3 linked regions of the Oryzias latipes genome follow. The protein of the gene in region 3 interacts with the protein of the main gene of each other region in a pairwise test. Links are inferred from orthologs where the notes say so. Each region holds a gene or a part of one and is shown on either strand. Other genes may lie near its edges.

Region 1 (10,203 bases), on a different chromosome or scaffold from region 3:
CCACGCCGGATCTTTGGTTGAAAAGGAAATAAGAACAGAATGACCTCTAAAGGAAACTCGTTCTGATGGGGAAACTGAAGACTGGCGGCGGTCCAACGGGTTGACGTTTGGAGGCGGGGTCAGAGGTGAGGGACGGCAGATGTCAGAAGAACTCGGAGACTCTGCCTGGTTCCCTGAGGAGGAGAGGTCGCAGGTTAAAGTCCGCCATCGTGTGACGGAGATCCACGGACGTGGAGCGGCCCGTACCTTTGCTCCGCCTCGGTGTTGTTGGTGGCGTGCTGGCGCGTGTGCACGTGGGGTGGGGCCTCGGAGCGCAGCACTTCCCCCGCTGGTGACGGCAGCGTTAAACTCTCCTCTGGAGGAGCCCGTTCGTCGTAGAAGAGCAGGCTGCGGGAGCGCACTGCAAACAGAAGATGGCGCCGTTTTTTTTTTTTTTACGTGACTGTTCCATTTTCTAATCTTTTAGAAACGTCTAAACGAAGCGCAGACTGGAAAGAGGGCATCACGTCTGGTGAGGAGGACGTACCCTGACTGGTGGTGTAGAGGTCTGCGGATGGAGAAGGGGCACCGGGGTGGGGGCTGGATGAGCTGTGGGACAGCAGGGAGAGGGGTGAGAGGCAGGGGGAGAAGGAGCCCAACACCAGGACGAAGCACAGCGCCACCATCTGCAAAAACACACTTTTCTTTACCAACTTTTATTCTACCTTATCTGATTCATCGGGTGGAAGAGGCATTACCATGAGACACGTTCCCGTTTGGGTGGAGGCGATCTTACAGGAGCGAGGGATGACCTTCCCCGAAATGAGGGACTGAAGCTTCTGCAGCTGCTGCAGCAGAGACCTGCAGGCCGAACGACACTTCAGTCAGTTTATTTGGATATTTTGGTGCCACCACAACAAACAAACGCCCCTCTGAAACAACCATCCCTGCTGCTCCTCGGTCCATGTGGTTTTTTTTAGAGGTGGATCTGGAGAGCAGGGCTCTGATGGTATGAGCCTTCAGGGGCTGCGAGGACGCGCCGCCACCACTGAGTGGAGACAGAGAACCGGGCTCAGCGCCCCGGGACCTGCCTTCACTCCGGTTCTCCATCAAACTCTCATTCCAGAGAAATGCTCCACAGAGGAGCAGCAAACTTCTTCCACAAGAAAAACGACTTTTTATTTCCTCCTTCTCTGGATTCGATCGTCTTCCCGATAGATCCTGAGCTCATTTGAGGATGAAAATGTGCTGCGCAGAGAACAGAATGACCACTAATCGCTGCATTTGAGGCGTTTTCTTCAAGTTTAAATTTAGTTTCTGCCTCTCAACTTCACCGTTCTGACTCAGCGCCCAGCTCATTGTTCCCCTCTGTGAGGTGGTTTGGTTTTCATGATGAAAGCTGCTGCTCGCCTAATGACAGGCCTCAGACCCCTCTACCCCTCCACACCCGTCTAACCAGCAACCCCCCCACTCCCGGGATAATAGCAGATCATATAGTTATAATAACAGAGGGGGTGACACAGCCGTCCACGCTCAGTTCGATCTGCGTTCTGAGGAAAAGCGCGACCCTCACCTGTTGGCCGTCTCCAGGTTTTCCACTTTTCTCCACAGGTCGCCGTTCTCTGACGTGTAGCTCTCCACCCTGAAGGAGGCAGACATCGTCCTTCAGCATCTCTGTTAAAGTCTGACCAACCCAAAACAGGGGCTCGACTTTTCCAAACAGAGGCATCTCAAAGGAAACAGGAAATGTTTCACCTCCGTTTTTCTTATGGGACACTTTTTAAAAAAATGTCACACTGTGGATTTAAATACCACAAATATGTCATTTAGGTCGACTTGAATGCAGTCTAACATGGAATAAAAGGAGAAAACAAACAAAGAAAATGCTTCAAACGACTTGTGCCGTGTTACATAAAGTGTGTAAATAAATAATTCAAAGGAGAATAAAAGGACGATCTGCTTCATGATTGTTTTCTTCATATTAAATTACTTAAAGATGCTCAACAGCTACATATTTTTAACAAACGAGAGCTGATTCAGATCCATTCTTAACCTCCGCTTGACGTTTGTCCCGAAAGCTTTAATGTGGTGACCAGACGACAGCTGGGATGGAGTCCAGCGACCCCCGTGACCCTGTACCAGAAATTATACGACATACCCTTATCCACAAGTGTTCAGGACTATAAAAGATAAAATAAAAGAAGGAAAAAACCTAACTGTTATGGTCTCCATTTTTTTGGGGGGGGGGGTTCTGTACGGTTTTACTTATTGTTTGTGTTCTAATAAAACTGCTGCTGCTGCAGGCATAATCTTTGTTATAAGTTTTTTTTAATAAAGCTTTCAAAATGAACCTCTGCCTATTTTGTTATTTGGTAACTGTTCTTCCGGATTTAAACTTTGATGTTATCGTTATTCAGAGTGAAATAACATCTAAACTTGTTGCATCTCCTTCATTAGAGGCTGCAGTTGAAGCAGATCGCCACTAGGTGGCTCTGCTCTTTATTGCATCGATCCCAAATCTTACTTTTCGACTCATTATCATTAGTCTTTTTTTATTGATAAATTATATACTAATATTTTTGTACCAAACAGCATATGAAAAGTGTAGACAATGAAAGTTATTTAATGTACTTTTTAAAGAATCCTAATACAGGCTATAAAAACAAACAGCATTTCGGGGGGGGAAAGAGACGAAAACATTCTAATTTAATTTTAATAACTTATAACAATCGCTGTCAAAAGTTTAACATTTTACTTCGACTCACCTAAAATGTTTTCAAATATACGTCAGAGCGATCCTTTCCCAATTTTTCAATTTAGCTGCTAATATTAGCGGAGCTTTCCTCCGGATTCCGCGCGGCGTAAACTCCGACATCTGATTGGCTGTTGTGATCATGTGACACGGATGCAAACACTCTGGATGAAATAAACGCCTTTTTTCTCTGTTTTTATGGGGTACAGCCACTTCTAAAATAAATAGTCTGTTGTTTGTATTTCTTTGACAGTTTCTCTTTTTTAAATTAATTTATTTTAAAAAAATGTTGTGTTTCTTGACCCCGCCACGTTTTTCATGAACTTCCTGTGTGATCCTAGCAATTAAAGCTTGGAAAGAATTTATTTCTGTTGGGATTTATAAAACCACAAGTCTACACTAAAATTATTTCTTGGCGAATGTTTTTAAATAATTGAAAAATAGTCTCGGAGTGCTAGTTGGACTATAAATATTTTGGCAGGTATTTCTTTAGTGCAGAGACACAATGTGATTACAAAGCAGATAAAAATGTTTGTGTGCGTTTCGATTGATTCCTAAAAGAAAGCTGCTCCGTCACTGAGGTTTTAGTTCAGATTAAAGTGGCATTTTAAGTGTAAAATCTTCAGGATTAGGATTATTGTTACTCTGAAAGGAATGTTAATCCATGTTTAGATTTCCTTTTCATGACGCTCCATGTGTTCAGCAGACTCCTGGAACCAGGTCAAAGTGAATAAAAAAGTTTTTTGCTCTTCATGAGTCTGGTAGGTCTAAAAAGGCGACTGATGATGATGATGAAGAAATCTTCGTTCAGTTAGGGCGCTCAAACATTCGTGACCACGCCGGCCTCCAGCTCCGCCCCCCAGCAGAGCCGTACTGTCATTCCGCGCCACGGTTAGGAAACCTCCAAACACAAAAGCTGGCCCTGAAGTGAGCGTTTGCTGCCAGCTCCACTTCAGCATTACACAACTGGATCTGCTGAAGGTTTTTCCATATTCTTCAGCGATAAATAATAAAAATCTAGAGAGGGAAAACCTCGGTCTGTAAACGGATGATCCCAAAGGAAGCTCAGAGGAGATGTGAATCTCCCAAACACCTTCTGACCTCACAGATGCAACAACTGGGCGTCCACAGACCGAATTAACCAACAAATGTTTCTGAAAAATCAAAAGCCTTACTTTTTCTCCAGACAGTCCACATACTCCTTCTTCTTCCTCCGACTTTCCTGAGCTGAGATCTGAACAAAAACATGTGATTTGTCACCAAAAAGGAACTTTGTAAGATGGAATTTTTTTTCTTTCAATTAGTTTGCCTTGTTTTTAATCTTCCGCCGGACTCTCTTCAGCGCCTTCTCCTCGCTCTTGGTGAGGGGAAGCTTGTTGGGGACGGGGTACCCCTCTGCCACCAGCGTTCTCTTCTCCTCCTCTGTGAGCATGAGCGGCCCCGAGCCCTGCAGCTTCTGAAGAACACAACGGAACAATAAAAAACTCCATGAAATCATTTTCAAACCAAACTTTTATCACCAAAATGAAAGCTGTAACTCTTTGGGGGTCAGATCCTGTCATAAATAGGCCCAGGACACTCAGAAATACAAATAATGATGGATCAATTCTCAGTTTGGACACTAGGTGGAGCTGTTGTTCCCAACAAGGCAGCTTTTTCACAAACTAAAGAGGAATTTTGTCGTCTTTTGAGGAAATAAAACGCTTCAAAACAAATCTGTTCTAATGGCTGCAAGCTCAACAAAAAAAAAAAGGAAATAACAGCGCTAACGCCTATATACAAGCCGTGACATCAGCAGGAAGTGAAGGTAGCACCAAAAGTTCTTTCTACTAGACCCGTTTCCCTGACCGGAATCAGAGTACATGATGGATTCTGTGGAGCTGCTTGGTCTGAGGTGATGAAGATGAATTTAACAGTATATTTACTTAGTTTCCCCCCACCCTAATCTTTTGCGACCTCTCCTAACCTTCTAACCCAAACAGCGGTTCCTGAAGCTTCACCCTCCGACCTGAAACCTTCCCTTTCTCCGGTGTCTCCGTGCCGTAAACACGTTGGGTTGAGTCATAGGAAAGCTGCTGATGGATGGAAGCCCCAGAAAATTAAAGGACGCGTTTTGAGGCGACTGAATTACAACCAACACCCACTCTGGCCACTTCAACGGCGTCTATTCCAGCCGCGTCATCTCAGAGGCGGTTGCTCGAATCGGCAGAGTCATGCTCTGAGGAGAAGCACGAGCAGCAACGACGCCTCAGAGAGACGGCAGGTTATTGACAACCGTTTTCTGTTAAATGCTACAAAAAGATAAGAAAATGATGATTTTATTCTCAGGAAAAAACGTCACGATTTGGGCTTTAAAGCTGAGGAAAGTTTAGAAGGAAAATGAGCTAAACAGCAACGAAATGGGAAAAAGGAGGAGCCGGGACTCACATGTGGAGCTGTGAGGAGAGGCGAGGAGGAGATGGCTGAGGAGGAGGCGGAGGAGGAGGAGGAGGAGGCTCGACCTCCTGGTCTCTGTTGTGGTTGGGGGGAAGACGGCAGCAACGGGAGGTGTGGGGAGGAGGGCGGCAGCGAGCCATCACTGTCGCCGTGGTTACTGCTGGGAGGGGTGGGTGGGAGCTGAAGGGCATCGTCTGGAAATAAAAGGGTCGGAGTTAAAAAAAAATGTAAATAAAAACCCGATAAAAGTCACCTTTTTGGAGCTGATCTGACTTTTTAAGGATGACTTCTGCTTCTGACTGACTTCAGGAGTCTGCAACCTTTAATTAAAAAGCTTTTAGGTCCAAGACGCCCTGACATAAAACCCACAAAAACTCGTCTGACCCTGAAAATAAATTCTCATGCGCTCCAGCTTGTCTAAAAGAGAGAAAAATATGCTTTTTTTTCTGCATAAAGGAACAGTTTTTGTTCTGTTGTTTTGAATATTAGCACTCCATTAGTAAAGTTAGTTCATTGTAGTGGTCAGGCCTGGACAGGCCTCAGAATCAGAGATTTTCCCTTAGAAATAATCTCAAAATGAACAAAACTCCAAAATAAAGTTGATCTTTTAGTGTTTTTTAATCAATATGCTGCATTTTCACGCAGAGCTGCAGACTCCTGATCCAAAAAAATGGTTTCAGACAGAAGCTGAAGTGGTTAAAGTCTCCCTCTGGTCATCTTTTTATCTATATGATGATGCTGTTTTTGGGCAGAATTATTAAATATGTCTCATTTTCTAGGTCTGCTCATGATTTGAATAAATAAAATACTCAGAAACACAACTTTTAGCCCAATTTTCTTTACTTTTCATCCGAGTGGGTCTTAGAATGTTCTAAAATTGAAAAAAACGAAAAAAATAATTCACTTTTCAACTAACATACTGCTTGTTTATGTAGATCTGCAGCTCCAGATCTAAAAAAGGCTATCAGACATGTGTGCAGAAGGTGAAGTGCATTGGTTGGGGTGCGTACCGCCTGGCAGGCTGAGGTACTGGCCAAACTCTTTGGGTTCGTCCTTTATGGCGACCGGATTCACGTCGCCGCTTTCCTGCGGAGACAAACAGGCAACTGTAGGGCCGTGCCACACAGACAATACGTACATTTTGCGCATTTTCCACGGATCAAATTTCTTTCGACTTTCGTCAAACATGCTTGATAATTCAGGAGTTTCTTGCTTTCGTCTTTCGTTGATGTGCACAGATGTCCGTCGAGGGTTTCGGCCGTCGGGCCTTCACGTGAAGTTTGAGAATGACGCCGTTTAAGCGTATTATACGTAGTTTATACTGCAATTGTGCGTGATTTTTGCAGCATGCAAAATTGTGTCTTTCCACAACCGTTCCTAACGCAGTGTTTTTCAACCTTTTTTGAGCCACGGCACACTTTAACCTTGACAAAAATCTCGCGGGACACCAGCATCCAATAAAAAAAAGAAAAAAGAAAAAGGAGAAACTCATAGTCTGTATTGATCTACAATCCCTCCACAATCTCACATGCATTTCTGTGATAATTGTGGCAGAAAAAGCTGGAAGCTGCAGCTGTTTGTTCTAAAAATTGTAATAAAAGTCAAGTTAGAAGATTTAAAAACTGATTGATGTGTGTTCGTTGTGGTATTAAGACGTTTAACAGAGAAGACTCATTGTGCGCTGAGACACTGTCACTTTAACCCAATGCATCATGGGAGATGTAGTGATGTCAGACAGACCCTCTTCTCTGAGCTTCATTGTTTTGTTCACTTGTTCCACAGTCTGACACTGATTTTGTTGAAAGCTACACCGCTAAAGACGAGCTTTAGCTGGTATTTTTGTTAGAACTGAGAGACTTTATGAGCAGAATCAGAACAAGGAAGTGAAGACTTTAACCACTTCTGATTGGTCAGACTGATGACGTATGATTAAGCCTCCAAGAATGATTGGTGGAGACAGTTAAAGGGGCGGGACTTCTCTGAAAATAGCTGTAGCTGCGGCTAAATTTCGGTACCGTCATTCTTATCAAAATGTGAACCACCGATGTATAACTTTTATGTTTCACATATCATGTTCAAATTACATAAGTGAAGCATGAATCCCTCATGAATTGCATATAAGCAGCACAATATTCAGGCACGGTTCATGTTCTACGTTGATTTACGTGTCTTTTGTGTGATTTATTCGTACTTCCGTGGTTTTAACATGATTTGTTTGTGATTCATCTGTAAAAAATGTCACATCAAGACCACAACTTTTCTCACTTTCTCCACGTATGACCAGTTTTCATCCGTGCTATACGCGCTAAATGTACGTAGCGGCCGCGTGACTCGATCTTTAGCGTCCTCGTCCCTGGTCGGGTTTGGCTGGAGGTGTCACGGGGGATGCAGGCTGACCTTGCGTTTCCACGACGACGGTCTGTGTGGAGGCGAACTCAATGTGAGAGCCGGGCCTTCCGAGGGCTGAGCGTCTAACGTGTGAGCGCCGTCGTCTTCCTCCTGTTTGACCAGCATGGCTGACAGGTCCTGACTGAAGTGCCACTCAAACTCTGGAGAGAAGGACAAGAGCAAGAATTTAGACCATTTTGGTTTTTTCACATTCACAGAAAAAGCAAAAAACAAAACCTCAGCTCGTCTGAGCGCAGACAGACGAGTTTCCTGTCATCTCCAACAAGTGGAGCGAACCGCCAATCCCCAGAGGAACTTGGGTAAACTAACCGCTTCATCCCTTCAGGGAGGCTCTGCTGTAGGTCTGCCAACCAGAAACAACCGGTAGCTTATAAATCCCACTTTGAAAGAGCTTCCCCAGAATATTCCAGCACTTCCTGACTAAGCTGGTTATTACAGACTTCTGGACAACGGCGCTTTGGCAGCGGCGGTGCGTAATTTGTCTCCGGTGAGTTTGTGTAGACCCTGGAGTGAAAAGATGGGCCGCTTGAAGAGCTGGAGGAGACAGCTCCAATGCAACAACCTATTTTTAGGGATTTGAGAATCCGACGGGAGCTGAGAAGGTCTGAAAGAGGCTCCAGGTGATGCAGGAAACGAGCATCTCTGTGAGGGACGGACGGACGGACGGACGGACGGATGAGCATCTGCTTTGCATCAGGAGCCTTTATAGGTGAGGCTCTGCAGAAGCGTCTCATTAGAGGGGGAACGAGGTCTTTCTTTTTGCTAGAAACAGTAAAAACAAAAACAAAAGTAAAAGGCGAGTCGAGGTGCAGCGGTGGGATGAGAAAGGCCTTAAGACAGGAAGGACACTTTGATCCCTGTCACAGCACACAGGTGTGTTTGCCGTTAGCGTCGGGTTTAATCACTTCCCGGTCTCCTAGCAACGTGGTGCTGGCAGGTTTACGAGCAAGGGTTTTGTGTGTGTGTGTGTGCGTGTAGCTCCGCCCATCACGCAGCATCATTAAAACCCCTGTGGCTTCTCTCTGCCGCCCTGAAGCGCCAAGAAACCATCCTAAGGACTTTTTTTACGTTTTAAAAAATATTTGAGAGCTGATTTTTCTAAACGAGACGACAGTTTTTTACGTTTTGCAGCTGGTTTGTGTCTTCTAATGTTCCTTAGGCTTAAATGTGACAAAAAAAACAAAAAAAAAAAATCACAAAATTCAGGGTTTTAAAGTCCTTTAAAAGTTTCCGTCAGGTCAAAGACAAACTTGTGTCGTGCCGCTGATGCTTTCGGCCGAATCAAAAGGGATTTTACAGAAACTGATGATGAAATTATATCATCTCTACGAGGCGTTACGATTTCAGCTGCTGACATTGAATCAAATTTGACACTAATAAATCCAGCTCAGGCTTTCCAACACTTTCTGAAGGTTTATTCTTGTAAAACTTTGACTGTTTTTAGAAAAAATGTGTTATAATTTTCCAAATTTTTCTAAAAACCCAATTAGAATGAGTATTAATGCCTCTTTTTTCTTATACAACAAGTATTTCTCTGTCTTGAATATGAAACTCTAAATATTTGTGGAGACTCTGCAGCAGTAGACACCGACGTCTGACTACCGTCAAAACTTTGTGGTTTGGGGGCCGACATCTACCTTTCCAGCATGTGATCTTTATCAGAGAACGCCTCCTAATGAGGCCCGTCCTGCTGCTCCCGGAGCCTCGTTAAGGCCTTGATTGGAAACTTTCCTAATGCAAACCAGAAGCTTCCAGCTGTCAAATCCTGCAGGAGAAAGTCCAAGTGCTTCAGTGGCTTCACCAAAAAAGATGATAACTGTTTTTTTCATTTATTATAAGATCTAAAGTTCTTCCCAAAAATGTAATATTTCTACTTCTCTAAAGTGGTACGGCCTGACCCCCACCCCTCCCTCCTATCTCTTCCAGCTTTATGGGATGTTGTTAGTCAAAGCAGGTCTTCCTGTGTGGGTAAAAGGCTGTAAGTGCAGGTAAGAAAACCTGTTAATGAGCGGGGCTCCGGGGCCGTCGTCCCGGGGGGCTGATGGAGAAAGGCGCGGGCGCTGCGTTTGATCTCGGCTGGGAACCGCCAGCATTAAAACATTAGATGGATCAGCGCAATGGGAGCTGCTGTAAAGAGCGCGGCGTCCCTTTGAATAGACGAGAGCGAAGACGAAGACTCGCAAAGTCATCAGATTTTCAAACACAAAAAACCCCTCCTTTTTTTAAAATTTATTATCCATATGTTATTAACATATTTATATTACCGAATGAAATTAGCAAGATATTTAACTAATAAAACCAAATAAATAATCAACAAATTGAATTTACAAGACACAGGTAATGATTAAGGTGCTGCACTGACTTCCTGATTGAAGCTGGTTTAAAAACAAAAGTACCTGGAGCCAGGTTATTACACCAGGTCACCACTAGGGGGATTTTTACCCTGCTTTGTTTAATCTACAAGTGAACTGGTTTAAGATTAAAAAAAGGAGTTCTTTTGACACTTTAGGTGTCCAAGAGATGCAACCAAAAGTAGCATTTGTTACGATTCCAGCTTCATCCTCAGACAGGAAGTTGTCGTGTGAACCCATTAAACGGCGTCAGGAGGTGCAGCTGATTGGACGATA
Region 2 (10,683 bases), on a different chromosome or scaffold from region 3:
TCAGAGCCCTGAAAGCTGGCATGCAGCGGCCTCTGCTTGTGTGTCCCCCACACCGGGATTACAGCAGCAGCCCCTTGGTGGCTGCTCTGGGGGCTCTTCATGCTCTATACATGGTGAGATAAGAACCACATTTAACCTGTGAAACCTCTTTACTCATTTAGAGTTTATTCTTCTTTAAAGTCGCACTTCAATCATCTTTTGATCTATTTTCATAGCCTTCCCAGTGGTCTTTTAATTGAAAAAATAGCCAATTTTTTTGTCATTTTGTAGGACAAAGTTTCTGCAGAGCAACAGGAGTTTTTTTGTAATTTGCCTCTGAGTTGTGGGCGGTACCGTTAGCAAGGAGTGGGTCTTCTCCCCTTCCCTTCATCCATCTGTTTACACTCTCTCCCGCTAGCTTACAGCTTCTAGCACCCCCAGCCCAGCATTACCGGTGCAACAAAATATCAGAACTATCCAGCTGTTCAGTTTTGAGCCAGATGCCATTGATTTTCTTCATAAATGTCCTCCCTCATGAGAAAACATGTTAAAAGCTCCAAAAACACATCTTAGTGGGTCTTTAATCTTTTGATATATATATTAAAGGTAACCTAAACATGGCTCTATATATATGTTAATATAGTTGTTTTTTTGTAAAACTGATGATTTAAAAGTGGCTCACGCTTTACTCTATTTGTTCCAAAAAGCCACTCGAGTTGCGGGAGACAAAGATCAACGCATCGCAGTACAAGGTGTGCGTCCTGGGGCTGTGGGCCGAGCAGGAGGCCGAGGGAAAGAGGCTGGTGGAGCTGGCGAATGCTCTGGAGAGCGGGAGGTGAGTCTAAAATCTTTTCGCCTTGTCCCTCAACCGTCCTTGGCGTTCAGCTGCTCAGCAGACGACGTGATTTCTTCTCAGACTGGCTTACCGCGACATTGGCGGCTCGGACCCCGAACGCATGGCTGCTCCTCGCGCGGCTGAATATGTGCAGGAGCTGTTCAAGAACAGCCCTGTGAAGGTGCAGAGGAACATTTAACATTAAAAAAAACACAAATGCACAATCTAGTTGGGAAGCAGTGGCTTTAAATCACCTTGTGCACCTTTAGGTGGAGGTGGTAAGTGACCTGAAGACATTGGAGAAAGAGTATCCATGCCTGGCTGCAGTTAACCGCTGTGCAAACAGTAAGATGCCTGATTAAAACTCACACATTTAGAGATGCTGCCTTATGAAATGTGTGTCTGTGCGCTAATTGCTCTCCTTTAGTCGTGCCTCGTCACCAGGCCCGAGTCATCAAGCTGCAGTACTGTGGGGAGGGACCGGTCCAGAAGACGCTCATGCTGGTTGGAAAGGTGAGATGCAGATTTGTGTGCAAAGGAACACAAACAGAGAAACCTGGCCAGATATTATAATGATTTTATTTCTCAGTGTAAATTAAAAGAATCATATGCAATGAACCAGAATTAGCCTTGAGCCTATTTCTCTGCTGTTGTACACAGATGTTTAAATGGTCTACCTAAAAAGCTAAAAACTACAATTAAAAATATAAATAAAAAAGGATATACAATGACAATTTAATTATGAGCAAATCAATTAAAATACCCATTGATAAAAACACAAAACTTAAATATAGCCTCGCAATGTTCATGTTCCTCAGAATTATTGAAACTTTTCTCTTCCACTGATGTTTCTAGATGAATCTCCATCAGATCCATGTCAGATGCTGTAGCTCAAAAGCTTTGACTGCGGGTCTGAAGAATCCAGTCAGCTGATCTTTATGTTGTTGTTTTATTATAAATGTCTGTTATGAAACACTCCAGGGCATCACTTACGACACAGGAGGAGCAGACATCAAGGCTGGAGGCTTCATGGCCGGGATGCACAGGGACAAGTGTGGAGCTGCAGCTGTTGCTGGGTTCTTCCAGGTAAAATTCTGAAAGATGCATCTTATTTTGTCCAGTACTTTTGCCTCTTAACTGCATATATATATATGCTCTTTAGATTTTAGCTCACCTGCAGCCAAAGCATCTGAAGGTTGTTGGCTCGATGGCCATGGTGAGGAACAGTGTGGGTGCAGGTCAGTGAGGATCCTTTAAACTTGTCATCTTTTTTTCTTCTCTGAACTCATCCCAGCTGCCTGTGTGTTTTCTCAGACTGCTATGTGGCTGATGAGCTGGTGGTGTCCCGCGCTGGTCGCAGAGTGAGGGTGGGAAACACCGATGCGGAGGGACGCATGGTGATGGTGGACCTGCTCTGCGAGATGAAAGAGAAGGTGCAAAAGGGTTCATTAAAGTCCCATGTTGTCCCACTGGACTTCAGTTTTGTTGTTTCTCGTTGCATCATTTGTCTCTTTAGGCCCCGCGGGAGATCTCCCCTCACCTGTTCACGATTGCCACTCTGACCGGTCACGCAATCCGAGCCATGGGGCCCAACTACTCTGTAAGTCCTGCAGCGAAATTAACCATATGTGAATAATTATAGCCCAAACTACCGAATGTGGAGATGTAATCTCTTCAAACGGGATGTTTCAGATCATCATGGATAATGGGCCAGCTCATCGCAGTGGGAACGCCGCTCAGTGGCAAAAAGGTGAATCAAATCTTCACAGTTATAAATCTTCCCAAATTTTTTCACCACTTTTATATTTTCACTATTTTTCAACACTTGAAGTGGCAAAAAAAAAATTATTGCCACATTTCTGGGTGGAGTTTTGTGTCTGAAACTGTGCTGTGAATCATACTATTTGGTTTATTGATCGTAAAATTGTCTTATTTTTTTCTCCTTTAAATGTTTAGAGTTCATTTTGCTTAGCAGGAAAGACAACGCATTTGAAGACTTTTAGTCTTTGATGTTATAAATGTACTTTATTACAATAATAAATCTATTAAAATGTAATACATTTACATACTAAATCTGGTTGGATCTGTCAGTGCTTCCTGGAGTAAAATTATGGATCAGACAGAACTTGAACTGCAGAAATTGACAGTTTTAAAATCTTTTGGCGTGCAATTTCCAGGTTATCCAGCAGAGGGCGCTTGTGTAACTTTTTCAGAGTTAACAATAGAGAGAAAGGGAGAAATGCTCAGTGCTCACGTGTTGTGTGATTTTATGGAGCAATGAGTTGTATAAGCTAGAGACGCTACACCAGCCTGTTACCATCGTCCAATGTACGTAAAGATTGACACCATATTGGAAAGGGCAGTAAACAGTGGCACACACTTAGCAGATGAACATGGCATGCTTAATTTTGGTCCGACTGATCATCACAAAAATAAAAAACAGGGTGTGGTATTAATGTTTTTGTGCAAGGTGCAACAGATGAACGACATTTCAAACGTTTTCATTATTAAAAGCGTTCTATAGGAAACGCAGAGTATACGTTTACAGATCTTTGTTCTTCTTCCCACAGCTGGAGAGGTTCTAGGTGATGTGTTTGAGGTCTCCACGATCAGACGGGAGGACTATGAGTTCCACAAGGGCAAGTCTGAGTATGAGGACATTCTGCAGGCCAACAACCTGCCATCCTCCGCTACGCCTAGAGGACATCAGAGCCCCGCTGCTTTCCTCATCATGGCCTCGGGACTAGACAAGGTGCTCATATGCTACCAGGAAGCAAAAACGTCTTGGTATGGTGAAGAAAATGCATCAGTAAGTCTAACTTCTGATTTTCTCCCACAGCATGGTGTAGATTCTGACACCCCTCTGCCATACTCCCACATTGACATTGCTGGGTCCAGTGGTCCTTTCCCGGGTGTTCCAACAGGGGCTCCTGTGCTTGCCATGACAACCAACTACATCCTTAAAGATGGTCTGAATTAAAAATCTGAAAAGGCAAAGTTGTATTTTCCAAGTACAGTATTACAAAAAAAAAAACTATCTTTAACATCACAAATGGTTATTTCTCCTCCTTTGTTTACAACTTTAAGCTCTCTTCCTGTCAAAAGCCTGTTGGTTTGCTTAAATGGGTTATATACTCAGGGGTTGCTTACAAAAACATTTCATTTTGTGAGCATTAAAAGTATTTGGAAAAAGCTTCTTTTTTTTTTAAACTTCCTGTTGTTCGTGTCACATCAAGAACTGCACATTGCCTAATAAAGGTTTTTACAGCAACTTTATTGTTCAGATTGGTTTATTTTGAAGAGTAGTGTCACTAATTTTGGAACAACTCTTGTATGAGGAAGCACAGATAAATATATATAAAAATGGCAGCTCAGAAGCTGAACCAGTGACCTCAAGAATGTTTGAGGTGTTTTTACTTTCATTAAAACAGCACTGAGACAATGCCAAAGAAAATACTGGTGAAGAAATTACATTTCCTGAGTGTAATTTTATATATAAAATTAGTTTTGAATCTGTGTGTCAGCTTTTCTTATTTATTAAAATGCAAATTCCACATAAAACATCAAGCAATCATTGACAACATCCATGAGGTTAAAGTAGTAAAAAGAAACTTGATGCTCCATACATTTAAACTAGTCATAATCGGTGTTAACAAAGTCTGTATTGTTCAGTAAGATGTTGGAGTCAGTGGAAAGTAAAATTGATACTTTCCACTGTAAAGGTTTGCATCTTTAAGACTCAGGAGCAGAAGGTGTAAAAAAAGGGGCAGAATATTTGCTCCAGTGATAATATTAAAAATTAAGCAAATAAAATAAATGTGAAGATGAAGTTTTACTGATGTTTTGGATATACTTGATTAAAAAAATTTTTTTAACTTTTCTTACTCAGCAAAATTCTATTCTTCTCAATATATTCTCATCAATATAAACATAAAAAGAAAACTGGAAAGGATAATCAGCTGTGTCATAGAAAATCATTCAATTTCACTCTTTTGGTCTAATTGGTCTAAAAAAAACATTTACAATTGCCAGAATATCAGCTCTGCTTTCATCCAAACATGAAATATGAAAAATCATACAAAAAATTTGTCTTCGTGTTTATTTGATTCTTATTCAAGACTCTTTGATGAGAATGCGTATTGTTAATGCAGTCGAAAGAGTTTTAGTGTGTGTGTGAGTGATGGTGGTGTGCCTTGGGATTTTGATAAGAGGACTTTGGCCCGAGACAGTCTGAATATTATGCATTATGCTTTAGTAACATCATTTAAACGTTTATCTTTTTGTTTTGTACATTTGTAAATGATGCAATTTTCTTAAAACAAACATATGTGTAAAACATGAGACAAATTAATATTATTCAGGCATTCAATGTTACAAATGTACAACAACTCCATATATTGATCAACATTAGGAGCTTATTTCCTCAGATTTAATTAATATAGTAACTAGTGTCATTTTTGCAGGACATCTGATGACTTAAGAAAACTCTTCTCACTTTATTTTAAGAGTATTATAATCTACCACACCAAACAAGAGAAAACATTTATTTAACCAGTGTTTTGTTAAGAATGAGGTCACTTTCTTTTAAAAACAAAAACAATTAGACCTTTTAATTTCATTCTAAAATATTTTTGTAATATTTTTAAAAGTCAGAAATATTCCCAATTTGTATTAAAAACTACGGGAATATGTTTTACATGCCCAAAATGTGAAAATAATTCTTTTCAACAAGCAGATTCCTTTTTAAATCTCTAAACAAAAATGTTTTTGCAGATTTGCATCCAGCTTCCGTTTTATTGACGGAAGTGTGTCACACGTCCGGAAATGACGCAACGACGCAGCGTTATTAAACAACAGGCGTTTGCGCGGGCTTCCAGCTCAAATCTTGTGGTTGTTGTAGAAGACGCGTCTGTAGCCCGCGTGCCACACAAAGACTGAACTGCCAAAGCCGCTTTGTCATCGCCTACGTCGTGATTACTCCTCACTGCAGCCTCCTTTTACCGGAGCAGCGCTGAAAACCTCCACCAACCTTTGCCTTCTTTTTCGATCTACGCAACCCTCCACAGAATAACCATGTTTGAGGCTCGCCTGGTCCAGGGCTCCATCCTGAAAAAGGTCCTGGAAGCCCTGAAGGATTTGATCACAGAAGCCTGCTGGGACGTCAGTTCGTCCGGCATCTCTCTGCAGAGCATGGACTCGTCTCACGTATCCCTGGTGCAGCTCACTCTCCGGCACGACGGCTTCGACTCTTACCGCTGCGACAGAAACCTCGCCATGGGAGTCAACCTTAGCAGGTGACGGGGAGAAAAACAACAAAGTTTAATAAGAGGGAAGCTTCGTGTATAATCTGCATGTCATGTGTTCTGCCTATTAAATGTATTTAAAGTGATTATCAGGGGCTGACTTCAAGTTCAGACATTTACGAATTGTTCATGGTAATCGTGTGTGGCGCCAAAATCATCTTGGACGAGTGAAACGTCGATCGTTGTGAGGCCGACAAAGGAGGCCATCTTGCTGGAGAAGCCCGGGCATGTCTCCCTGCTCGGTTAACTCTTTACTGTCCACTCGCTGATTTCAACCAGCAAAAAAACAAAACGTCTAAAACGTTGACATGTGCAAATATGTCTTTGCGCTGTCACAGAGCCGCACTTGCTGCGGTACTTTAGCGCCAAAACTCTTGCCGGCAGTGTTGGCGGGAATCCTCAAAACCCGGGAACTTGCACTTCCGCTTACGTCACTCTTTCATAAGAGTTTCCGGAATTAGATTAGCATGTTGATACAAATACTTGGATCATTTTTTTTAAACATACCACGTTATCGTTTTTAAAATAAATTTACTTCAAACATAGTACTTTATACTTATAGATTAAAAGGTGACATTAATAAAAGCTAAATTTTTGCTATTCAAATAAAAGCTCAAATGTTTTACTGCTTTTCTCAGTATGTCCAAAATCCTGAAGTGTGCGGGAAATGAGGACATCATCACCCTCAGAGCGGAGGACGCCGCTGACACTCTGGCTCTTGTGTTTGAGACCATCAGTAAGTTTCTAACTGTTCGTCATACGGAAACTGTTCATCTGATGAAAATCCTCCAAAGTCTTTATGCTCCTTTTCACTTTTCTGTGTTCCTGCAGACCAAGAAAAAGTTTCAGATTATGAAATGAAGCTGATGGACCTGGATGTGGAGCAGCTGGGCATTCCAGTAGGTATTTTTTAATTACCTCTTCTGCAGTATTTCCCAGCATTCCCTGATCTTCACTTTCTTTGCTCCTGTCAGGAACAAGAGTACAGCTGCGTGGTGAAGATGCCCTCCGGGGAGTTCGCCCGTATTTGCCGTGACCTGTCGCAGATCGGCGACGCCGTCATGATCTCCTGTGCCAAAGACGGTGTTAAATTCTCCGCTTCGGGAGAGCTGGGCACGGGAAACATCAAGCTGTCCCAGACCAGCAATGTGGACAAAGAAGAAGAGGCCGTAAGTATGAGGGGTGGATCTGTCCTGCAGAGGAAAATCGGTTTGTTTTGACATCGTTTTGTAACTTCCCGCTTTCCTTCAGGTCACCATTGAGATGAATGAACCCGTCCAGCTGATTTTTGCTCTCAACTATCTGAACTTCTTCACCAAGGCCACTCCGCTGTCAAAGACTGTAACCCTTAGCATGTCTGCTGATATCCCCCTTGGTAAGGTGGCTTACGTTGTGTGTCCGTCATCACACCTGCTGAAGCTCGACCTCATCACATTTATCTGTTCACAGTGGTGGAGTACAAGATTGCCGATATGGGACACATCAAATACTACTTGGCCCCGAAGATCGATGAGGAAGCTTCTTAAGTTGGAAGCACAGACCGAAAAGGGGGGAGAATGCAGGTGATGGATGACTGGGACTCCTCCTGAAGGACTGAAGGGATCTTACTGTGGTGAACTGTGGTCACTCTGAGGTTCCTGGGCTCAAAATGAAGTCCAGGGACGCTCAGAGTAGCTGGCAGACACATCTGTCGTAGTTTCCAGCAATTGTTTTAGGCCTGTTCTCTCCCTCTTTTTATCCCGTTTGTTTGCAGGTATCCATTCTGTTGTAGATAACACCTCTGTAAATAATTCCTGTGGCGTCACACTGCAAGCTCCAAATGTTTTGTACTCATAAATTCAATCGGAAATAAAGGATTCAAGTTGTTAAAAAACGTTGTTTGCTGTCCACTTTATAGTTTCACTAGCAAACCTTTAATAAGTGCACATGTGTGTGGGTCAAACTTCAGATATTTTTGTTATTTTTCATCTGTTGGTATGCAATTCAAATAGATTTTATTTTTTGCTCCTGTCCCAGAGGAAAAGATGTGTAACCAGAAAACGCCCATTGGGTGGTGCTATTCCCCCTTTTTAAGGTAGAAGAGGTTTCAACGTGACCAAAAAATCAGCTTTTCAGCATGAGATATTCCAGGTTATCCACAGTGTTAGGTTGAGCTTTACAGTACAGTGAACAAAAAAGCAGCTCACTTTGATGGTCTGATTGGGATTTAACCACATAATCTGAGTTCTGAGCCTGCTTTCAGAGAAATTACATCCCACAGCATTATTAAAGTGGACCACCTTCAAATGAAACAAAGATAATCTACATATTCATGCAAATACATCAGACTGTGGGTCTGTTAAGTTCTGTTAGTTTTGCCTTGAATCTGCGTGAATATTTTAATGACATGCTGTTTTTGACGCGCAAATCAATTTCCTTTGCATGTTTTATTGCTTGTTTTAATTATAACAATCTTAACCCTTTATACTATTTCCATCTTTCTTTGTTGAAACATATTAACCAAAATAAAATTACTTCACCAAGAAAGACTTGACACTGGTGCCAAAAAAATGCTATTATTGTGAAAAACACAGGATATAGAAAAATTATTAAAGGTTGTGTAGTTTAACCCCTTCATGCCTGAGTTTATTTTCAATTCTTCTTCCACTTTCGGCTTCTCCCATCAGGGGTCGCCACAGCGAACAAGTCGCATGGTAAATTTGGCAATGTTTTACGCCGGATGCCCTTCCTGGCGCAACCTTCTCTAACCGGGCTTGGAACCGGCAGAGGTAGAGAAGGGAACAGGGAGCAGCCTGGAGTCGAACCCGGGTTTCACGGACGGAAGGCGCCGCAAACCAGCACGTTTATTGTGATGCCAATTTAAGTGTAATTTGATTAAATGGTATGTGCTGAATTAGTGACACAGCATGAAGGTTTAACCTAAAATAAAGGTATTTCAACTTAGACATCTTATATCTGTGAAGAATTCTGAGTTTGATAAAAATGTTAAAAATATCTTACAGTGAAACATTGACTCTGAATATAAATGACTGTAGCTAACTATGATAAACATGTTTTGGACAAAAAGAAATAAAATAAAACATTTCACCTAGTTCTTCAAAAATACCAAGGCTTTTGAAAGTAATAGAAAGTGAGAAGAAAGTAAAAAAGTAAATGCAGATTTTTTTTCAAATACCTTTTAGAGAAAATTCCAAATCCTTGATTAATTCATTAAAAAGTAAAGGCAAAAATCAATAGGTCTGTTTTATTTACCTTTTAATTGCCTTGCAGGGATGAGGTGAGTTTATTCAAAAGCAACAAAATTCACATCATGCCAAAGCAGTTTTGATACTTCTGCCTGTTCTAAGTCTGAAACTAAAACTGTACGTTTTAAAAGAACAGCTGTTGCTTGGCAACAAGCCTTAAGTATGTTTCAGTCCTCCGACAAATTGTTTTTTTATGTTTCAGTTTCTGACAGGATTAAAGAAGATGCCACAAGTTAATTAGGGTAGATTTGAAGGTGCTTTTAGAGGGATTTTCTCATTTCTGGACGATGTCAGGGTGCAGCCTTGTGGCTTCTCCTGCGACTGTCTAAAGCAGCAAATATTTAAAATAATTTTCCTCATTTGCAGCGTTCCTTTAATAAGGAATATTCTGATACAGTTCAGAAGCAGGGAGAGGAGTGGACCTCTTGTCTCTGTTATCCCAGAAAATCCAAATTCTATCTAGTAAAAAAGGGGATTTCCTGTCTTTGGATTTATTTCTGTTGCATTCAAAAAACAAATGTTCTTTACAAAGCCTACCACTGTCATGAATGATCTAAATTGACCAAAACTCTTACAGCTTCTTCTGTGTACTAAAATATCTGCTTGGATGTATTTCTGCCCCTTAAACATGTGCACTCTTTTAGATAAGGAGCGGAGTCTGTCTGCAAAAGAAGAAGAGCCGAGTGAGATTAGAACGTCAATTAAAGAAGTGACCGATAAAGCAAAGGCACATTGAATCAATTTAAGCTGCCTCAATATTTAATTAACTGTCACCGTCCAGGTTAAGACTAATCACAAACTGAAGCACAGCCAAGTTCTTTCAAGCTGACTGGGGGCTTCCACTTTTTAATTGGCCATTTTAAGCCTCAGTCAGGCCTCATAAAAAGCATCACAGCTGTAATTTTTACTGAACACTTGGAGGAAGTTGTGACAAAACCAGGTCAGGAAGGCAGTCTGTCTCTGAGCTGAAGGAAAGCTTGTCGAAACTCACATTAACCCTACATAACCATTGGTATCATTTTTGATGCATGCATTTTGGAGACCCCTATCTCAATAGCTTGAGCCAAACTTTCCTGAAAAATCAATTTTCAGAACTTGATACATGTTTTCTGACCTGTAGTTCACCGTGATTCCACTAGAGGCAGTAGAAGTGGTTTCCTTGTTCATGACTCTCAGGACACACCCCTTTCCCTACCTGCAGGCGGCCTTGCCAGGTAAATCTTTTGATCAGTTTCAGCTGTGTCGCAGCCTTTACAGCAAGCACTGCCCAGCTGATCAGTGGCAGAAAGTCTCCAGTTACTGGAATGTTTGCGACTTTGGA
Region 3 (10,647 bases):
CAGCAGTCTTTATTGGCCACTAGATGTCAGGAGAGCGCTTTGGTCAGCTGGGCTGTTATTTACATGCCTAAAGAATTTGTGAATGCACAATTTAAAGCCAATATCAACCAGCAATATTCTGCATACTGTTTGTTTATTGTGCATTGTTGTTATTGTGTCTTGGGTCAGCGATTCTTTGTCAGGAACACTGATTTTCCAGATGTTGGGCTGCCTGTGGAGTGAAATGTCTGATCTAATGTTTAGCTTTTGCTTCATTCACATCAATTGAAGGTAACTGGTTGATTTGTTCAGGAACTGACAACATGATGAAAGCTTCAAGCATCAGTTACATACATCGAATCATTGACAGCCCCCCACCATTTCCCCTCCTCCATCTGCACAGGAGAAAGTACTAAACCACTTTATTGTTACACTACAGTTTGGATTTTTCTCTGACACTGTCATTTTGATTCAGGAACATAATCATCTGAACATATATGAAGAAGAAACTTTAGCAAAGCCTATATGGAAATATTGGGAAACCAGTTGCCTAAAAAAGGTTCTCAGTAAATTTGGGTTATGCTTGAATGTTGTGGTTACAAAAACGTAAAATGTACAGGTACAATAACTGCTGACAGGTCAGAGAAAATGCACTCACTCTGTAGTTAAATACCAATGCAGCAGAAAGAACCGGAGGGTTTTGGTATCATTGAACGTCACGGTGTGAAGAAAAGGATCATATGCAAACACATAATGTCTGAAACTTGGAGATATAGTTTCATACCTAAAAAATGTCTTGAGTAGAGAAAACTGGAGATGTGGGGATTGTGAGTCCTATATTTGTTCCGTTGTTAAAGTAAACTGTGTGAATGAAAAAAACCTTCAAAGACTGAAAACTTTCACTTCTACACATTTCTTCCCAGTTTCTGCAGGTCTGGCGGTGAATAGATTGGTTTTACATTCATATTTGTATCAAATTCATACTGGATACAAGAGAGCAGCTTATCCCAGACGTCTACTGTAACGGCAGAGTTATCATCAAACACAGGAAGAGTTAAAAAAGCAGCTGCTGGTGGGATCAGATACCACACCACCACACACAACTGCAGGTTATACAGTTACAAGATCTGTTTAAATAAGACCATAGTGGAATGTAGTCAACAGTTTAGGTCCATCACCGTGAGACAGCCTCAGTTCAACTAGCTAGAGTTTTCACGTCTTCTTTCAGCTTAGAGGCTGAGGACAGAGTGAACCAGCTGATGAGAGCAGACAGTCAGTGCTGGTATGTTCTATGACACAATCTCATTGAATCTTTTGACAGCTAATTGGAGGTTCAATGGCCTAGCTGCTGCTGCTGCTGCTGCTGCTGCTGCTGCTGCTGCTGGGTTTACGTTACTGTCACAGCCACGTGAAGACACCTGTAACCATGTAGCTCAGGTGTAGAAGTGGTTTATGGTGACCTGGTCAGAGCACTGAAGCGTCCATATTCCACACTGCAAGCTACTGAATGGACGGCAGTTCCAACAGAAAGGATATGGTTTGATGGGAGACGTCTTCATTTACAGACTCAGAGTTCACTCCCTAGGAACCTAACTTACCTTATGGGATTTATTAAAGTAAAAAATGAATCACAACTGTATTGACTTAAAACCCTAACACTAGCAAAGTCAGTCAGTAAGAGTTATATTTTTTAAGAAACTTGTAAAAAGAAAAGGAAATGTCAGGAATCTCAGTGCAGCACCACTACTGTCACAGTAGAGTTTGGGTTTGATGTAAGTATGGATATCATCATGACAGGATGCAGTCATTTAAGCAGTAAATAAAGAGAGCTGAACAATGTTCTCTTGAACCTAAAATACAAATTCCTGGCTTCTTTATTTCGGCTCTGAAGACACGATTAAAGGACTCAACAAGGACGCTGAAAGAACAAAAGCCTGTCACCACCTTTAAATCCAAAGACTGGGCAAACTTTGCCTTCCAGAGACCTGCCGAGTTGGTGAACTAGCTTTTTTTAAAGTGAGTGTTAAAAATGCCGGCAGTGCAGTAGTTTACCATAACTACATTAGAAAGACAGGTCTCAGTAATTCAGTGATCGGTACATAAAATATGAAGAATGGAGAGGAGATCCTGAAGAAACAACAAGCCTCTCCGACAGATGTTGATGCTTCTTTGTATAGAAACTCATGTTTCAGAGAGATTTTCCAAAAGCTCACTGATGTCTCAGAGTGCGCTAATAATTTATGAGCCGCCAAGGAAAACAAGACGACAAAGTGAGAAAAAAGCCTCAAGCAGAAATAACAGGAGACAGCAGCCCAACTGTTGTGTACAGAGAGACAGTGACTTTTATGGAATGAGACAAGATGATCATAGTCCTAATGATGATGATGATGATGATGATGCCTGTGAAAAGCATTCTTGTGTCTAAGAAAGGCGGGTATAACAAAGGGAGTCATTCAGAGATGGATCCAAATAACACACCTCAGGTTTTAATCTGCCAATTAGACGGCGAACAGGAAGCCTGAGTGTGTGGAGCATGTTTTATTAATGTGCCTGTGCGTGGGAGCAGGTGGGGAGTGGGGTGTTAAATAGACCACCCCCACCCTAAGTTTAGGACTGGTGTAATTGGTGGTGTGATGTTTTATTTGAGCTTAACAGGATGAGGTTAAGGCCGCCTCTCGTGGGCGCATCTCTGCTGGCAGCTGAGACGCAGACACAAAGGATTCTCACTGCATCCAGTTCTTTTCCATGAACTGTATTTTTAGGAAAAACAAATGTAGCATCATTATCATGTTCTCTTTTTCTGAATCATATTTTGTGAGATTTGAATCAAGTTGACGGCTGCTAAGGGGAGCAGCAGCTCACATGAGGACAGGAGTGAAGTAACCGGAAGGTCTGAGCGGCTCTGACATCTTTGTCTGTGGAGTCTGGAAGGGAAACCCAGAGCGTCTCTGCTGGTCTGGCCGTCAGACAGAGGCCACGCACGCAGGACGCCGCTCTGCTCGCCTATTTCAGTGGGGCGGCAGCTTGCTTGGCAGAGCTAGTCGGCTTACTGGCACGACTCTGAGGCAACATGGGGGAGTGTTTGTTGTGTGTTGCTGTTGGAACAAGATGAAGCAGGCAGGCCTCCACAACAAGTGCAGAAATTCCCACAGTGACACTATTTGCAGGCACACAGGCTGAAGCACAATCAGCTGTCGCTGAAGACAGAATCCTGTTCTCACTTAAGGCTGGGCATCGTCTCCCTTCTGCTTTCTTTGTCCGCAGACACAGAATAAGTGTGAAACTCAGACACCACATCCTTTTGAGTGCATTAGTGAGCGGCGAGCTGAGCTGGACCCTCTGGATGCAGACACGGCCGTCTGGACCCAAAACAGTTGGTGGTGATGAATCCCAATGGCACCAGATCAAGACTGCTCTGTTTTCAAATGAGCCACATTATGCTTCCATTAAGCATGTGCCGCCATAACAGCCCATAATACTGCTAGGGTCTTTACTGCACTCAGAGTGGGGGGGTGCTGTTGCTGCTTTTGGCAGCTGTGCTGGGGAAGGAGAACGGCTTCTGGGAGCCCTTCACAAAATAAAAAAGCAGAAGTTTTCACTTCATATCCTTGATGGGACTGGAGGAAGGACGGTGTGCAGTCAGCTGCAGCTGCACAGCAGCAGGTTGTGAGAGGAGTGTGATGTGCGTCCAGCTCACCTCCTTCTCTTTGAAAGGGGGAGGAGTCTCTGGGCTTCGAGGGAAAACGACCAGAGCTAAGGTGATGGAGAGAGCCAGGAGGAAGACAGGGATGACTCCTAACCTGCAGGAGGAAGACGGTTCAGATTCAGAGGTTCAGGACGTCATCAGCGGCTCTCTGGGAGCTTTGGTGGAGTAATTTCTGGTTACGTTGTGTAATCTAACTACAGTTACATTATCAAATGCTGTGATCACTGCATGGACACTGTGGATGTTTCAAGAAGTCAGAAAAACAAGACACTGCTGATGTCTACAGAAAAAAGGATGTGTGTGACGGAACCAAACAGGGTCATGAAAAAAGGTTACATCAAACGAATCAAATCCATGTTAACAATAGCCAGTAGTTTACAGCAAAAAGCTTATTCAGGTGGTTTTCTTTAAATAATTCACATTTTTGGATACAAGTTCCACCTTTGTTTGAGTTTAAATCATGAAGTGGTTTTTTAGAACCACTTCATGAAGGGAAAATGTAAAAATAAATGTCATTGAATTAATCAGTAAACTTTTAATCATCATCTAATCAGTGCAGTATTTTGGCAGAAATACCCCCCACTATTATGAAACGGTTTTCTCCTGTCAGCTCAGTCTGAACAGGAGAAAAAGGTCCATCAATGAGATGTTTAACCTTTTTCTACAAAGAGATCAAAGATAAACTTTCCAAAATCAGATTTATGGAGTATTTGATAAAATCCTGATGTGTGAAAGAAGACGACTTGAACAAATCTCGAGGTGTTCCTCAGGGCTCAGTGCTGGTGTGTTGATGACATCATGCTGTCAATCAAAGTCTTCAGTTTAAATCAAACTGATGCTGATGATTCACAACCTACTACAGGATTTCAACTGGACGTGTGTATGAAGCACGTCATCACGAGCTGAGGGAGAAGCATCAGCATTTGAATGAGGCCTTCCGGTTCGGGTTCCCACTCACTTGGCAGATCCGGACGCTCTCAGCAGCAGGATGCCGAACGCAAGAGCCGCGACCCAAACGAGGGCGAGGATCAGGACTCCAGGGCCCACCTGGAGGACGGGGGAAGCCATGCTGATGCTCTCTGTCTGTCTACGGACGACAACAGAGATGTGATGATCATGTAGAGGCGACCGCGGCGCCGGTTCCGGGCCGGCGGCAGCTCGGAACTCCGCCGCCCGGGATTCCGGCTCAGCCCCGTCCTCCTTCCGGTTGGTTCTAGGTCAGCGTGGCACACGCACGCGCGTGCTTTGTGTAAAATAATATATGAGCGCTCAAGTTTTAAAGCTATATTCCCAGTGTCTGCGCTTTTCACCGTTTCCTGGTAACCAGAAGCTTTGCTCTCATTGGATAAATGAAGTGGAAGATAAGCCAATCGGCTGTGAGGTTACTTCGAACAGAGCCAATCAGAAGGCCGCCTCCATGTTTCAGGACAGATAGGAGAAAAATGGATTTGGGAGATTTGTGGGGAAACGAATCATATTTATATACGATAATCATTTAAAATTCAATGTTCACGGAACAAAAGGCGGTAAAGGAAAACACGTGCCTTAAATAACCTTCCACAGCCGCCGGGGGGGCTGACCGGATCCGCAGGGGGACCGCGGGTGTTCCGCTCACTGATTGGCTGGAGCTGACGCTCAGCAGCGTGCGAAGACGTGGTGCCTTTAGGGTACCCTCGAAACTTCCATGCACTGTTGTTTAAAAAAGCCCGAGAAGGTTGATGTGTTCACGGCGTCTGGTGATCAATTTAGAAGATCAAGGGAGCTTTTCAATAAAAATAATAGATATAAAAACAGACAAAGCTGCCAAATTTCACTGTCAGTGATTTTGTGAGAAGTCTAAATAAAGGCTAACTGAGGTGAATAATTCAGCTGTAGTGCAGTTTTGCATCTGAGCATTTAGACATTTAGTCAGAGAAATAAACTAAGAAAAGCTGAAACAAAGGATTTTTAATGAATTTTCTGGTCAGCCAAAGGCAGAATGTAGGATTCACATGCTCTGTGCCTTCTTAGGTTATTTATATTTGAAAGCAGTTTCCTTCATTAACCGGTGCAGGGATGTAATGGGATGGCTTCAATATTCCTTAGCATTTCATTCAAAGTAAATATAAGTTGCCTGCAGATGTGCGGTGAACTGATCTGGACAGGAGAGTGAGTGGGCTGCTTTTGAAAGCAACTTTATGGTTTATCAATAAAAAATAAACAAGCTGAACATTTTTTCCATCATGTGATAAAAGGTGGAAGTGAGGGATGACCACTGAAAGCTGGAGGAGTAGAACACACACACTAAAGGTCAGAGTGCTACTTCCTGGAGAAGAACAAAGATGCCTGATGTTAGCAGTAAGATGCTGCAGTTTGTGTGTCAGCTGGTCCAGCAGCACCAGAGACTCAAAGAAGCAGAACAAGCTGACCCAAGATGCTGGTTCTGAGATCAGCCTGAACCTCTCAAGCTGTGTCCAGACATCCATCGTGCAGGACGTACTCAGCATGTTGTTCACCTTTCCGCAGGGGTCGCCACACACAGCTGTCACTGATTCACACAGGAGGCTTGGCAGAGATGTTTACGCTGGATGTCTTTCCTGACACAACCCTGTGTTTTATCTGGGCTGGGGACCGGCACCGGGGACCCAGACTCGGGTTCCTTTGTGGCTACGTAGTTAGGCAGCGGCATGAAGAGTCTTGACCAAGGACCCACACTGGAAGAAGCTCATCGCGCCCCTGGGAATAGAACGCTGGTTTCCCTTGAGCCATCCAGTCACTACAGATGCTGGAGGAGCACAGCATGAAAGATGAAACGTCTCATGATACCGAACACTTCTTTGAATTGCGCTTTCAGTCAAAGGTCTCTTTAAATTTGAATAAAAAAAAAACAGAATAGCAGAAGAGGATTTTTGATGTCTTTAGTAAACAAGACATTAAAGCCTAGGCTAGAGAGTTTACGTTTATGCCACATTCATGTAAAATAAATCTCATTATGACTTTACAAGCAAAATAGCTTTAAAGCATTTATAACATGCTTGTCTTTCCTGCTTTCAAATTATTGAAAAAATAAAAAAGTACAAATGCAGGGATTTGTGCCTTCAACAAAAACAAGACAGGAGATGATGGAACGAGAAGTTTAGGCTTGTTATAGTGAAACCTGATCTTCGTGATCCAATCGGCGTCTTCCAGTTGCAACTGCCCGCGGTGGCCGTATTTCCCACAGACATGGAAGGCATCGGCAGCCCGGGTCGGGAAACAGAAGAAAATGGATGAAGATGGAGGTGGGAGGAGTCTGGCTTGGCTGACGTCAGCGGCTGTGTGGAGGAGTATAGGCTGTGCTGTCAGCCCAGTGTCAGTCTGATGAAGATTGGCATGCAGGTAAGCTGTCATTCATTTTCAGTGTCAGTGCATGAGAGCAGAGCTGCAGCCCTGCAGCGGCCTTTCCCCCCTTCCCCCCCTCATTACAAAAGGCAGGACATTATTCATGCAGGCAGGCAGACACCCAGCCAGGCCGGAGAGGGAGGGAGGGAGGAGACGGAGAGGCAGAGGAGGGGAGGGGAGGGGAGGGGAAGAGGAGAAGCAGAGGAAGAGGAGGAAATGCAGTTTGCTGGGACCGTGGAGGAAGAGCGGCCGTTTCTGTCTGCGCCTGTTTGGGATGCTGGATCCGCTGGCTGTTGTGTTGTTGTTGTTGTTGTTGTGTAGTTAGAGGTGCAGAGTCGAGGCGCTGGAGATCCGCCGCCGTGTGTGTCTTTGTGTGTGCGTGTGTGTGTCAGTGTGCGTCCTGCAGCCGCTGGTAACCTGTGTATTTATCTGTTTACTTCATTGTTTAACATCATTCTAGTATCTTTTTAGAGTTGGTGAGAATATTAACTTGTAGAAAAATGTGAAAGAAAAAAAAGTCTTTTTAAATTATTAAACGAAGTTTGTGATGACGTTTTCTGCTGTTTACACTTATTTATTCTTTTGGAAGAATATGATTGTAAACTTTTCTCAACAGCACATTTCTGACTGACAGAAGACTATTGCATTTACTCTGACCCAACAAATAAACCAAGAAATCAAAAATGGGTTGGATGCTTGCTGACTTTTGCTGCTGCAGTTCTCTCTTTGTTTTGCGTAACTGAGCTCCTTTGTTTGTGTCGCTACTTTCCTCTTGTGTTCTGTTTGTGGATGTTTGGCTGATGCTTGTGCGAATCCTTGTTGTGTGTGTGTGTGTGTGTGTGTGTGTGTGTGTGTGTGTGACCTGCAGGCGTCCTGGCTGAAGTCTGTCCGTCTGCGTCTTCCCACGTCACCCACTTTACTCTCTGGGTGCTTGAATGACGGTTTGCATGTTTTGACAGCTCTCAGTCTCAGTGTGTGCGTCCTGGAAGCCCGTTGGCGTCCAGCAGCACTCTGTCCACCAGCTTTCAGCCGTTTAGGGAGTCCGTTCAAGTCGCTCCGTCACTCAGAAATGGTAGACTTCCACCTGTCACCAAGAAGGCAGATTTGGAACTGATGTGTGACTTTAAAAATTGCAAATTTACTACTTTTAGGTTCACAATATATTCAGTTTTTGTCTCCTGTCAGTGAAATTAAAATGTCTGTCAAACCGATTCATTAAAAAAGCCTGACAATCAAGAATCCATCAGCTTAATCAAATATGTCTGAGCCATTTGTTTACTAATCATCCGCCTTCCTTCGAAATCCCAGCGGTGATTTGAACCACTTCAGCTCTTTCCTCAGAAGAGCCTGGCAGGTGTGGGCTGTAAAATGCCACGAGGAAGTAAAGCGGCCCCCTCTGTGGCAGTCAGGGCTTTGAGAAATGCTGCTATTGTCGCTGCTCAAAGACCATGAGACGGCCTGTTTCCTCTCCCAGCGGTCAGATGAAAGTGTATTTTTGTCAGTGGATGATTCAGCGGGGAATGAGTTTCAACGGAGCACGAAGAAGGTGTTTGCTCTTTGTTGTGATGCTCCCCACGCCGCTCTGTATGAATTGGCAGAGTGGGATAAGACTAATTTAGTTTATTCACCAAGTCCTGCTGAGATCTTAATTGATGATTTGTGTCATTGGACAAGCAGCCCAGGGGCATATTTGGGAGCCGCAAAATAACTTCAGCACATTTGCATATTCTCATTTCTGCTGTATGGATAAATGATAGGATGGAGTGTAATGCTGTGGATTCCTGCAGCTTTTGGGGGGGAATAATCCCCAAAAGAGGGATTCAGTCGCACTAAATGAGGAAGCTAAACGAAGCCAGGATGGCATACGTAAAAACCAAATTTCAACATTTGTGTGATTGAACCTATGAAGAGGAAATGACATCATCTTGTTTGCTTCTTTTCTCCTTTATTTTTTCCTGTCTTGTTGATTCAGAAACAGATGAATAAGATCATGTAGTAATTATCCATCTATTCTTTATGAAAGTGCTAACTGGACTTCTGTAATAAGGTTGGGATTTGTTTACTTATTTATCTTTTGAAACATCTAAAAGGTTAAAATTCTGCAATGAAGACAACTATTGAGAGTTCTTTGTCAGACTGGTCTGCTGGGCGTCACTGGAACATCCTACAGGAAGTTCCTTCTACCCCCTCTCTGTAGTTTGATTTCAGCTGGCTTTCCGTGTTCAGTGGTGCAGCAACACTAAAGACAACTGCATTGCGTGTTTTAGCCGTGTTGGGGGCCTTACAGGCCACGGCCACTGAGCCCGCGTGACCCTGCTGCTCTCCAGAGGAGGGCGGAGGGCTTTTTGAACGGCTTAAGGACACAACCTTCTGGCTTTTGGCTGTGCAGCCAGCTCTGTTGTGGCTGTGCTTTAAGCAGACCTTGAGGGATCCAGCGGCAGCGCTGAGGACCAGCTTGATTTCTGCCTCCACCTCTTCCAGAAAACGTCAAGCAGAGGTCTGCTTCTGCAAAGCCAGACTACAAACAAAAGTAGAAAAGCTTTAGCAAGACTTTTGCTTAATGCACTTCAGAGATTTTTGTTCCACTTCAAACCATTCCCAAAGCCGGCACATGATGTGATCTTTTTTATTTGTTTGTCAAATGTGATCTGCAGAGGATGCATTCTCAATTTAAATGTATTACTGTTTATTGATTGAACCTCTCATTTTTTTCATGTAGCTCAGCGATTTTCAACTAAAATTTAAAGAGATCCAGTTAGAAAAAAATTCTTGAAGCTAAAAAGAATATTTCTAAATATTCTGTGTAATATATTACCGAGTAGCTGAGGATTTGTGGCACATCTGCATGTGTTTATTATCTAACTGTCACTTCAAATGAATTCAGTATAATTTAAAACCTTAGGACAGTTTTTAATGTCACAACATAACACACATGGAACTGTGCACGCACACACACACACGTGCACGCACGCACGCGCACACACACACACACCGCGCGCACACATACACACACAGCAAGCACACATACACACACACACACACAGAGCAAGCACACTACCAGGACAACTACCGATATCACCTGGAAAACTAGAAAAAGGAGGATCCTCCAGCCCTCATTAGCTTCTTCCACAAATCAAACTCCTCCCCAGAAGAACGTATTTGATCAAATGTTTGAAGTTTTTCAGTCCATCAGGGTTGCATTTCAAAACTGGTAAATTCCTGCTAAATTCAACTTTTTCTGTAGGAAAAATTCAAAACGTCCCTTTTCCCAGTTTCTTCAGTTCAGAAACATCTTCAGATAAAGTCATAAAGTGAATTTAAACAAAAATAAATAAGTAAAAATCACAGCAAAAGCAACCGTTAAAGAACATAAAAAACTACTGGGAAACAACAACAGCTGCAACAGTTTGTGAATAAACACGTAATTATACCATGGTCCGGGTGAATACTCGATTCTGATTGGCTGCTGGGTATGCGTTAAAACCTGATAACCGCACGGTGAAAAAAGAAGTTCCGGTCGGCTAGCTTAAATGATTTGTATCACTGCGCCGGCTTCTGTAAAACAACCTTTTGCTTCATCATCTGGGCAAAAACAAGCGGTA

What was found.
Region 1: the proteins of tmem218 (region 3) and creb3l1 interact in binary tests that used the Homo sapiens proteins (3 or more experiments, as listed by UniProt). The link is inferred for Oryzias latipes from reciprocal best matches to the Homo sapiens genes TMEM218 and CREB3L1.
Region 2: the proteins of tmem218 (region 3) and pcna interact in binary tests that used the Homo sapiens proteins (3 or more experiments, as listed by UniProt). The link is inferred for Oryzias latipes from reciprocal best matches to the Homo sapiens genes TMEM218 and PCNA.

Annotation. Positions count from the first base shown.
Region 1 is NC_019860.2:23,107,895-23,118,097, reverse strand, and holds part of creb3l1 (cyclic AMP-responsive element-binding protein 3-like protein 1), read right to left. Parts: intron 7,717-10,203; coding exon 7,565-7,716; intron 6,254-7,564; coding exon 6,178-6,253; intron 5,362-6,177; coding exon 5,159-5,361; intron 4,188-5,158; coding exon 4,041-4,187; intron 3,966-4,040; coding exon 3,907-3,965; intron 1,622-3,906; coding exon 1,553-1,621; intron 841-1,552; coding exon 738-840; intron 666-737; coding exon 527-665; intron 401-526; coding exon 247-400; intron 174-246; coding exon 143-173; 3' UTR 1-142.
Region 2 is NC_019867.2:6,549,208-6,559,890, reverse strand, and holds pcna (proliferating cell nuclear antigen), read left to right. Parts: upstream 1-5,645; 5' UTR 5,646-5,887; coding exon 5,888-6,108; intron 6,109-6,325; exon of another isoform or gene 6,326-6,755; coding exon 6,756-6,853; exon of another isoform or gene 6,854-6,942; intron 6,943-6,948; coding exon 6,949-7,016; intron 7,017-7,035; exon of another isoform or gene 7,036-7,091; coding exon 7,092-7,286; intron 7,287-7,368; coding exon 7,369-7,492; intron 7,493-7,566; coding exon 7,567-7,643; 3' UTR 7,644-7,990; downstream 7,991-10,683. Other genes in the region: putative aminopeptidase W07G4.4, read left to right, coding at 5-113, 687-814, 896-995, 1,084-1,159, 1,242-1,327, 1,796-1,900, 1,977-2,052, 2,129-2,247 and 4 more. UniProt on the Homo sapiens protein: Auxiliary protein of DNA polymerase delta and epsilon, is involved in the control of eukaryotic DNA replication by increasing the polymerase's processibility during elongation of the leading strand.
Region 3 is NC_019872.2:1,108,903-1,119,549, reverse strand, and holds the start of tmem218 (transmembrane protein 218), read right to left. Parts: upstream 5,454-10,647; 5' UTR 5,230-5,453; intron 5,155-5,229; exon of another isoform or gene 4,773-5,154; 5' UTR 4,754-4,772; coding exon 4,644-4,753; intron 3,780-4,643; coding exon 3,677-3,779; intron 1-3,676. UniProt on the Homo sapiens protein: May be involved in ciliary biogenesis or function.